2 linked regions of the Caenorhabditis elegans genome follow. The protein of the gene in region 1 interacts with the protein of each later gene in a biochemical or structural test. Each region holds a gene or a part of one and is shown on either strand. Other genes may lie near its edges.

What was found.
Region 2: of the proteins of ikke-1 (region 1) and allo-1, one has a biochemical effect on the other in vitro, tested with the Caenorhabditis elegans proteins (one study listed by BioGRID).

The regions. Positions count from the first base shown.
Region 1 is NC_003281.10:9,045,525-9,052,212, reverse strand, and holds ikke-1 (Inhibitor of nuclear factor kappa-B kinase epsilon subunit homolog 1), read left to right. Parts: upstream 1-1,519; 5' UTR 1,520-1,520; coding exon 1,521-1,920; intron 1,921-1,971; coding exon 1,972-2,174; intron 2,175-2,266; coding exon 2,267-3,109; intron 3,110-3,566; coding exon 3,567-4,370; intron 4,371-4,469; coding exon 4,470-4,537; intron 4,538-4,679; coding exon of another isoform or gene 4,680-4,827; exon of another isoform or gene 4,828-4,891; intron 4,892-5,627; coding exon 5,628-5,715; intron 5,716-5,801; coding exon 5,802-5,858; 3' UTR 5,859-6,158; downstream 6,159-6,688. Other genes in the region: R107.5 (uncharacterized protein), read left to right, coding at 1-36, 90-456; R107.2 (ATP-dependent (S)-NAD(P)H-hydrate dehydratase), read left to right, coding at 6,281-6,331. UniProt on the Caenorhabditis elegans protein: Serine/threonine-protein kinase, which plays a role in regulating allophagy, an autophagic process in which paternal organelles, including mitochondria and membranous organelles, are degraded in embryos.
Region 2 is NC_003282.8:10,694,799-10,698,885, forward strand, and holds allo-1 (Allophagy receptor allo-1), read right to left. Parts: upstream 2,275-4,087; 5' UTR 2,271-2,274; coding exon 2,210-2,270; intron 1,996-2,209; coding exon 1,678-1,995; intron 1,622-1,677; coding exon 939-1,621; intron 784-938; coding exon 637-783; 3' UTR 508-636; downstream 1-507. Other genes in the region: R102.11 (uncharacterized protein), read right to left, coding at 3,663-3,794, 3,846-4,027. UniProt on the Caenorhabditis elegans protein: Autophagy receptor, which is required for allophagy, an autophagic process in which paternal organelles, including mitochondria and membranous organelles, are degraded in early embryos.

The DNA.
Region 1 (6,688 bases):
AAAGTGCCGCCAGGGTCCTATTGATTTCTTACCAAAGTAAGTTCTTTTACAAAAATTAATTTCTCTGTAATTAAAATGTTTTATTTCAGACCAGAAAAGTTGAAAGGAAATGAAATGGTTATCTGGCAGCCGCGAATTCTGGTTTCACCAAAGAACGACTTCAATATGGCTGGTCGAATACAAGAGATTGACGACGAGGAGGAAGATCGAGTTAACGAAGAGATCAAGACTCGTATCATTGAGAATGAAGGCATGATCGATGAAGACACGCGCAACGAAACAACGGGAATCGTTGAACTGGGCACCGGCTCGGATCACAGCGATATTGGATCTTCGTGGAGCTCTCCAATGGCTTCGCCAACTGGTTCTTCTCAAATTGTGGAACTCGATCCTGATTCTCCGAACAGTTTGACAAACGGAAGTGTGACTGATGAAGAAATGATGGAGTTCGAATGATCTCACTGTATATTATTCACGGGTTATTATTCGAAAACAATGTAATGTAATGTATAGAATTTAATTTAACCGTTGATTTGTTCTTGTTTGTTTCTTATTTACGTCTTTCAATATGTTCTACTGGTCAATATTTGAATAAACTAAATAAATTTAAACACCTTCACATTACTACTCTTCGATGGTCGAATCTGCGTTTCCATCACAAGTGTCAATCACTTTATTTCTATGAACCTCTCTCACACTTTGTAGTAAACAGATATTTCGAAATACTGATTGCTAGGTCTTATGAAAAGTAAAACTTTTCCAGTCTGCGTCTATGCGGTACTCAGCAGTTTGCTTAAAGAATTCTCTATTTTTCCATTCTCCATATCAATTCGAACTTTTTCATCTTCCAAAAGTAGGGTTTGTATAGTCAGAAATATGTGATTCACTCTATTAATAAGGGTGTGGCCTTTATATAAAATTATCTCTGTTACTTTTATATGTTTAAAATTTTTCGAACAATTCCGGGGGACTTGTCGAAAAAGTTCCTCAGAAAATTTATAAATGGAACACTAAACGAAAATCGTTGTTTACGAAAAAAAAATCAATGATCGTCTTTCTTGCTCATGCCATTTCTTATCATAAGAAAACTTATCGTCCTAGGACAAGACTGTGATAATTGTAATTTCATACTTTTATATGTTTTACTAAATAATTAGCTTAAAGTTTGAATTATTTGATCTTAAGAACTCTCTTTTTTTCAAAAATACTGTACCCGGTCTCGGCGCGACAATTTTTTTAATTCGAAGAGGTGTGTGCCTTTAAATAATGTCGTTTCAAACTCTTTTTTCTGAGGAATTTTCAGCGATTTTTTAATATACAGTTTTTTTTAACGATTTAATCAAATTTATACATAATTTTTCTATATTGAAAAACTTTGAAAATTGGCTCACACCTTTTCGAATTTAACAAAAATGTATCGTTTGAATTTTTGGCGTAATATTTACATATCATCAGTATTAGAAACCGACGTATATTTCATAAAATATTTTTTAACATTAATTATCTGTATCATTTTCAGAATGGCGGTATCTCCTCATAAAACCTATCCAATCGTCATTACACACGGCGAAAAGTACACGCTTTTCAATGATGAATCAATTGGAAAAGGAGCATACTCAGAAGTCTACAGAGGTCGAACCGAATCTGGAAGACTTGTTGCTGTGAAAACGGCTTGCAAGAAGTTGGAAGTTGCTGCGATAGGCATAGAAATCGAAATTCTAAAAAAGTTGAAAGGCGCTTCGAATATTGTACAATATTTTGGTAGTAACCACACAAAAATGGCACCTGGATCAGTTACATCTGAGACGATTTCCTTTGCGATGGAATATGCAAGTAGCAGTTTGGAAGCGGAAATGAGAAGGCCAAAGAATCACAGAGGACTTTCATCAAATGCACTTATTGACTTAGTTGTAGATTGTTGTAAGTTTGAAATTTATTTATTCTACAGTAATACACGTTTATATTTTTCAGCTATGGCACTATCTGCTCTTCGAGAGCACAATATTGCTCATCGCGACATAAAACACATGAATATCCTTCTATTTCCCGGTACTCCGACACGTGGAAGACGATCCACACATTTATTCAAACTTTGTGATATGGGTTGTAGCAAGTCTCTTTCGGAAAATAGTTCACATGAAATGAGAACTTTAGTCGGAACTCCTAATTTACTGGTAAGCTGTTACTAGGCGTAAAAATTTTAGACCAGGAATTTTTGAAATAATCAAAAACGTCAGCTAAGATGATAAAACACATTCAATTTCAGCACCCCTTCCTGGCACACGAGATGGTCGATCCACTGATGGCTCAAAACAGACATAATTGGAAAACAAAATCAGCTTATACTTCGGAACAATGTGATCTATGGGCTCTGGGATGTACACTATATTTTTGTGCCACTGGAAAGTTCCCATTCGAGCACGAAAGGAATAACAAGAGCCTGTATCATAAAGCTGTAGTGGCTCTTACTCAGAATCCGGATGCAATCGCAATGGTTTTAGTGCAAAAAGGACGAGATCCAGGAAGAAGAACTGATATATTTGAATTCCAACCAGTTACAGAACTTCCTGCTAAATTCACAAGATATCCGAAATGGCTCGTAAGCACAATGACATGCCTTCTACGCAGCTTTTTCCATGAACCTTCAATCGAGTATTATGCAAAAGTGGCTGATGCTATGAGAAATTCTAAACGAAGAACATTTTCATCAGTGGATCAAATGTCGATTGTTGAGCACACGGATATGTCTAATGTTCCACATCTTGGATTCAGTATTCCAAGTATTTCAAAATGTCTTGGATATCCAGAAGGAACCGATATACTTCTTCTCTCAAATACCTCCACCCACTACCTTGATTCCAAACAAAAATCCGTTGACGGACTTCCCGATGATTTGTATTTGGTCGTTCCCCAGACAAGTCACGTTGATATGAGAAAGATTTTGGCGAGAAATATCGAATTCCACGAATTCGATGATATGACAGACAGAAAACTTTCTGAAATTCGAATCAAAAAATGTTATGAAGGATTGAGCATGCTAACTGAAATTGACGAGTATTTGGCTCTTTTTGATCGAGTCTCCACAATTTTGTCAACCCAATTTTCACTGGTGAGTTTTGCATTATGATTTAGACGCGAAATTTTGCAATTTTTGCGGTAAAAAAAATGGTACCAGGTCTCGACACGACAATTTTTTGTTAAATGCAAAACGGTGCGAACCTTCAAAGAATACTGTAATTTTTATAAATTTTCCCCAGTTTTTTCGTTACAAAAAAAAATCATTTATTTAATACGCTTGAATGAAACTATTAAAATCGATCTAAAAAATTTCGTAGCAGAAGATTGAGAGTACAGTACTGTTTAAAGGCACTCACCTTTTCGAATTTAACAAAAATTGCCGCGTGGAGACCAGTTACCGTATTCCTTGCGCTAAAATTTCAAAATTATCCGAGTAACAACTCAGTAGTTCTGAAAATGTTATAACTTTCGATTTTAGATTATAATTTCGTAAATCACATTTGAAATTCCAAACAGTCCCAAAAAAAACCAAAACATGTTTTTTTCAGCTTGTGCAAGAGTTGAGTCAATTCGAGCGTGTTCAAACTGCATCACGTTTTGCTGTTTATGTGGACATGGCTTCAGTACCACTGATGTTGTTCGATGAAGCGAATCCAGAGACCAAAATGATCTCAGATCAATGCATTCAACAAGCGAAACGAGCTAGAGAGGAATTAGAGAGACATGCAAAAGTTTCTATGGATATTGAAGCATGTGCAAAGCAATTGTCAAAAGATGCTGAAGATCTTCGACTTGAAGACATGGATCTACCAGGAATTTGTGAAGAAATCGAATCCTACGTCTTCTATGACAAACAAGCCATCTTGAGCACTCAGAAATATTCCCAAGAATTAGTTGAGTTGTGCCTGAAAAGAAGAAACAATATTATGGAGCAGATCTTCAACTCGCCTGACAGAATAAATAAAAGTAAATTGAATAAGGCAATGAATTTGGCAGCATCGCTCAGCCAACTACGTTCGAATTATCGAAAACTTCAAGATATGATATCCGAATGTGTAGATCTACTCGAGAAGCCATTCCAAGAAATGAAAGATACTGTAAATCGTTATCTACAAGCCCAAGGATGTTCTCGGAATACGATGCAAAAGTCTATGCATTTGTTAAGACCCGAATTCCACGAGAGTCAAATTCGCATAAAGAAGACCACCAAATCGTGTAGGAAACTCATCGACCAACTAAACATAGAATTGGATCAACTCGGATTTGTTCGCTTAGGAGATATATTGATCAAAGCCGAATCGGAGCAGACACTTACAAGATCAGAAGAGATTCAAGAGACGCAGGTTGTAAGTGTGAGTATTTTATTGGGGTTATCAAAATAATCCTTTCGTTGCTCTAATATAATCGGCTTTTGATTAAACGTTTCATAATTTTCAATTAAATTTTATTAGTTTTTTTGCCAGGCGGAATCATCACCGAACAAAGAACAATTCCCTAAACCGGAGCAGGATTCCATTTTGTATGTCTCCTTTTTCTCATCAGACACTGCTTTTCCCAAATTAGTTCTGTATTTTTATGTCATACTAGTCTCCTACTTGCATAGATTAAAGTTTAGATGTAGTATGAGAGAGCAAGAGAGAGAGTGATCCCTGATTTTTTAGAACTAAAAAAATGGAGAGAATCTTCAAAAAGAAACGCAGAGAGAACGGAAACGAAGGAGGCGACAACGACGTTTGTCGGATTTGTTGCGAGAATGAAAGACAAGAGAAACGAGAAAAGAAAAGGAAATCTTCTGGCAGAAGACACTGATTTTCTAGACTTCCTCTTACTTTTTAACACTGCTCTCCATATTACAAGCCTTTCACATGTTTAGGTATACGTTTAAATGAGAAGTGGCCGATCAAAATTGTTTTGCGAATTTCAGAACGAAACATTTCAAAAATGAGTTCAAAACCTTCTTCTGGCGGTTCAAAATTTCGAAATTTCGATTTCGACAAAATGTCGACAAAAATAATTAATTTTTTAACTAAAATTTCCCCAATTTGCCAACTTTTACGCGCCATAACGGCCTGTAGTTTAATTTTATGTAATTATTGTCCCATTATGACATTTTTGTCAGTTATCTATAGTAATTTAGTTAATTTAGGTACAGAAAAAATGGCCAAAAAAAAGAAAATAAATAAAGTGATAATCAAATAAAAATCTGTTTCCGGCCGCTTTGATATGTCGATGTTTGAAAAATTGGAAATGTTAGTTAAAAATTCGGTTTCCTTTTCTGTAAATTTTGAACCGCCATAAAAAATTTTGGACAAATTTTTGAAAACGTCCGTTTCGAAATTCGGTCTTCTGGGTCATTTTGAATATAATAAAACAAAAATTGATCAGTTACTTTTCTGTTAGCTCTTAAGATGTAGCTAGATCGCATTCAATGAGAGTTACCCCTAATTTTTTGAGTTTTGAAGGTATGAAAATGGAATTCAATAGACTTATAATTTTTCAAAGTATTCACCATTTTTGGTGAATGAAAAAAAAATCACGTTAACTTTTAGATATTAAAAATTCAATTTCTCCAGTTCAAAAACATCTTGTATAAATCTATGTTTTTGTAGAGAGTCATCAATTGATGAAGGCTCAACTTCATTCGAATCAACACCACCATCGTCCCCTCCTGACGTTGGGTCTAACAACTATTTCCAAGTAAGCTTTTATTTCTCTTTTCTTTTCTCTTTTCTTTCTTCACTTTAATGCATCTCCTCTCCTTGTGCTCTACCTACATTTTGCAGGCCGTCTTTCAGTACTTTGCCAAGCCGACGTCTTCCCCTTCTTCTTCTGCGAAATAATTTCCTGTAAATACTCGTCCCGGTTTTTTTCCTGTTTTTCAATCAAACCTTCCAACCCTGTGCTATTGACGCCCGGAAATTTGAATTCCTTCAATCATTTTTTTTCTTACTTTTTCTCACCCCTCCACTCACACTCATTTACCCACATTGTTGTATCATCTTTTCAGTCTCTCCAAGTTGATTGCGAACACTTGTTTATATTTCCATCTAGTCTGTGTTATCTCGTTTTATATGTTCTCTATAACAGACGTGTATATAATGAATTACGAGGATTATCGCACCCTTCCTCTCACTGAATTGAAGCCATTTTTGTCTATCTTTTTTCGTTTTTTTAGAGAGGAATTGCCATCTTTTGATTTCTTTTTTTCGAAATAATTTTTGGTGCCAGTACATTGTTTTATTAATTTTTATTTCAGATTTCTATGGATCATTTTATCAAATTGTTGCCAAAATTGACACCGCATTTGAGAAAGGTTAGTTAAAGAAATAAAAAAAGAAGAATTTAATTAGGGATAGTAAAAAAGAGAAAAAAAAGTTGCAGTCCTGTAGTAAACAACAACTTTTTTGTGGCTCAATAAAAAAGTTTATGGATAGAACTTTTTTTTTCCTTTTTCGAAAATTAGGAAAACAACACTGAAAAGTAGAGTAGATAGAAAAGTTCAAATAGTCTGTAATCATCAAAATATGTATATTATCTAACTCAAAAAAATAACACTTAAAATAAAATAAAACTCACCTTCTCAAAACTAAAAAAAATAATTTAAAAACAATAAAAATTACAAAAACTGCTTGAAATTTGGCAAAATCGGTGAAAATAATTGAAAAAGTTA
Region 2 (4,087 bases), on another chromosome or scaffold:
TACTGTATTTATAAAACTTTTGTTGGTGCGAAAATTTCTCCGAATTGTTTCGTTCAAAATGCATTTATTTATTTGAAAAAAAAACTAAAACTAAACAATTAACAATACATACAATATAACAAGTCGCAATAACAACTCTGAAAAATCGATTAAAATTAAAAAATTCCACAGCATCGGAAGTTTGAAATTACAGTACACTTTAAAGGTGCACCCCCGTTTGCTTTTAACAAAAAAATGTCGTGTCGATACAGAGTACCGTATTTTTGGCGCAAAAATAGATCGATTATCTCTCAGTTAAATTTCATTATGAATTTTCTCGAATCGTTAGATCTTGAATATATGTACGTTTGTATCGTTATTGTTTTCACTCACCATTTCCTAATACTATAACCCGTCGTGTGAGCAAAGAGTACATCTTTTACAAAAACCTGCAATTATTAAATTATTTTTTTCATTTCAATTTACCAATAAACTACCGACTAAATTCGAGTAATTGCTGAGAAATGATTAGAATTTTTTCTACATCATAATTTTTATTGACACGGGTTTTGCAAGATAATATACAAAATAGAACAAATCATGAAAACAAGAATTTAAAAGTATTGAATGTACACAATGTGGCGTGATAAATGAGAATTATTGGTGGGAGATAAAATGAACAATTTGACGGCTTAGCTCGAGAAGTCTTCCAGCACTCCAAGTTGACGACATTTCTGCTTCAGACTGTTGATCACCTGCTCGTTCGAAGCGAGCATGCGGGTGCTCTCCTGTTGGTCCTGCAAGCTGGTATTTTTTGCAAAAAATTGTTAAATGAAATCTTATGTTTGTCGTTGAAAAACAACGTTGTTTTAGCACTAAATTAAAAATTTAAGATAGCAATGACCGCTTGAACGGTTTCTATGGTTAACTAATTTAAAAAAAAGTTATCAAAACCGCACCTCATGCAGAGCACTAACTATCTCATCCTTGTTGCTCGACTCTTCTACAGATTTCTTCAGTGCTTCTTTAGTTTCCTCCAATTCTTTTCTCAGAGTGATAAGCTCATGTTCCAGATTCAATGAATATGTGGTTCTTTCCGCCAACTGCGATGCAACAAAAGAGGCTGGTGGATCAAAGACAGAGCCTCCTCTTGCATGTTTCAACTGATCCTCCGCCAGCTTGCGACGCTCAGATTCTTCGAGCCGGCGAGCAACCTCTTCATCAACCAGATTTCTCAATTTCGAGTTCTCCTCCAAAAGTCTATCAATAGTAGTCTTCGAGTCACTGTACTGAGCGTTGCTGTTTTTCTCGGCTCCCTGCTTCCACAGCTCGGCCACCTGTTGGCTCTGAGCCAATTGCACTTTGAGCTGCTCGATAGCCGAGTCTTTCTCCTGGATAACTTTCTCTACGCTAGCAGCTGATTCTTGCATCTTCAATTCGAACTCGTTCTTCATAACTTCCATTTTCTCAGATAGTTTCTTGTTTTCTTCAATTTCATGGTTTGAATTTGATTTCAGAAGAGTGGATTCAGACATTTTTGCAGCTTGAAGTTGAGATTTCAGCTCGCTCACAAGAAGAAGTGATGTTCTCAAAGCGATTTCTGTTGATTCAACGTCCGCCACGTTCACAAGAGAGGAATTATCTGGAATTTACTTGGTCAAATAAATAATTTATGATAAGTTTTGGTTTAAAACTAACTGGAACATTCAGACTCGGACACAATAGACATATTCTGAAGAGTGAATTCAGGAGATTGACTCGAATTGACAAGAGACGCGAGAGGAGTTGACATTGGAGTACGATCTTCCTTCAAAGTTTCGGTAAGGAGCGGTGTTTCAACGATTGATGCTTCAGGTGTACGATCTGGATCTTCGTCTTTCAACGACTCCGGGGCCTTCGATCCGACAGGAGATGGAGCGCGCTGTGATTGAAGTGTATTCGGCATCTGGATTGAAATTGGCTCGATTCGGATACTCTGCTGAATACTCCATTGATCCTCACGATCTTCTGTTTCAGCTGGAATTTTTTTTTGAATTTTTAAAAATCCTCGATTGTGAAATAACAAATAAATCGATTTCAGAAAGTTGACCCATAATTTCAAAAAATGCGAAGAAATTTCGAAATCATGATGCAAACAATTTATTTCTAGACAAAAGTTATATTTTCTCATTGGGTTAGCTTGGGAGCTTGAATTTTTAGGTCCTTTTTTTAAAATAAAATAAAAACTTACGGTCAAAAGTCTCGATTATCTCGAATTCGTCATTCGAGAGGGAGTCAAGCGGATCGTTCATTCTCTGAAAAATATTACTTAGTGAGTGATAATAACAAAATCTCGAGTTGAAAAATGAGAAAAATATATGAGAAGAGTGAGGTCGTATGATCGAGAATGCAAACACTAAGCACTGGTTACTGCTAGCAATATATAAAGGAGAGTAAAATCATTGAGAGAGTTAGAGTGTGATTTCGAAACATTCTAGGTCGTCTGTCTTCTACGTCTCAGTGTAAAAACGACTCGAGGAATCATGTGTTTGCCAGAGAATGAATCAGCAGCTCTTGGAGACGCAGGCATAAAATGTTCGAATTGGAAAACAGCTGATGCGGGTCGCAGTGACCAGTGGGAAATGTCGTTTTTGAAGGTCGTTAGGAATTTTTTGATATTTTCCAGAGTCGACTTGTTAAGAAAAAACTATATTGCTAATAGATGGATAGGAATGCAATTAAAATTGTTGGGAAATCATGCGTTCAGAAGAAGCGAAGAAATTATAACATTTTCCAACAAATTTTCAGATTTGTGTCGGCGTTTCGTTAAAAATTCAATTTTCATTTCTACAATTGTAAATTCTGTCAATCAATTTGACTTGAAAAAACGAAAAAATGAAGCAAAAATAAGGAATAGGAAGAAATGCAGCCTGTAACACAAAAAATGGCGAAATGAGCGCTCTCGTCTGGTTGTTTTGAGGAAGACGAGACACTGGAGGAATTGAAGAGACGCAGGCAGGCAGACAAAATTCGTTTTTCGCGGTTTTTCAAATTTGACCGTTTTCGGTGCGTTTTTCTCCATTAATATCAATAATTGGTTAGGAATTTTTATTTTTTTTTTTTAAATATAGCTTTAAAAAAAAGATTTCTGAAATTCTAAATACCCTTTTCCAATCGATTCCGAAAAATGAAGAATTTATTGTAGCTGAGATTTTAAAGGGTACACTAAATATTGATGACTAATGTCGCAGTTTTCTGAAACTTCAATGCGGATTGAAATTCGTCACGAGAAAATATTTATTATGATTCCCGGTAAATTGGAAAAAAAAAACATAAACTTTGTCTTGAGGCGAGATCCAAATCTCGGTGCGTCTTTAGGTACGCATTTTTTAAACTTGTGAAACACTGTGCAAAATATTGAAATAGACCACCATTAACTACATATACAGCTGCATTCCTCTTTGAAAGCGCAAGCCCCAGTTCAACATTTTATTTGTCGTTTCAGGACCTCAGAATCCACAAGGCTCATATTTTACAGAACACTCGTTATAAGCATTTTATTTGAAAATTATTACAGAATCCACGTCGTACTAGATTCTAGGAACTTCATTCTGTAACTTTTGAATGTTTAACATTTTATTTTTGTACTATTTGTGTTATGACTGAAAGAAAAGATGTTATATAAGCAAAAACCATTGTACATATCAATGTATCGTCTGATTGTTGATCGCACGTCTTCTTCGACCACACCCACCACCGTAACCGCCACCGTATCCACCACCACACCCTCCGCATCCACCACTGCATCGAGGAACGTATTGAGGAACCATACAGGGCTGAAAAGATATAACAACAATGAAATTAGGCAAATTTTACAGTAAAATTACCTGATACATGGTTACCGGTGGCGGGCACGAGCAGGCAGGCGGAGGAGGTGGACACGGGATTGGCATCGGGCACGGTGGAGGTGGAGGTGGCATACATACTGGAGAAGGGGGAGGTGGTAGGCAGGAGCATCCCATGTTACATCCACCACAGGAACTTCCACATCCGCATCCGCCACCGCCTCCTGAATAGTATGAGATAAGTAAAGGAAAAAGTGTTGGAAAATTTCTAGTCCGTTAAAATA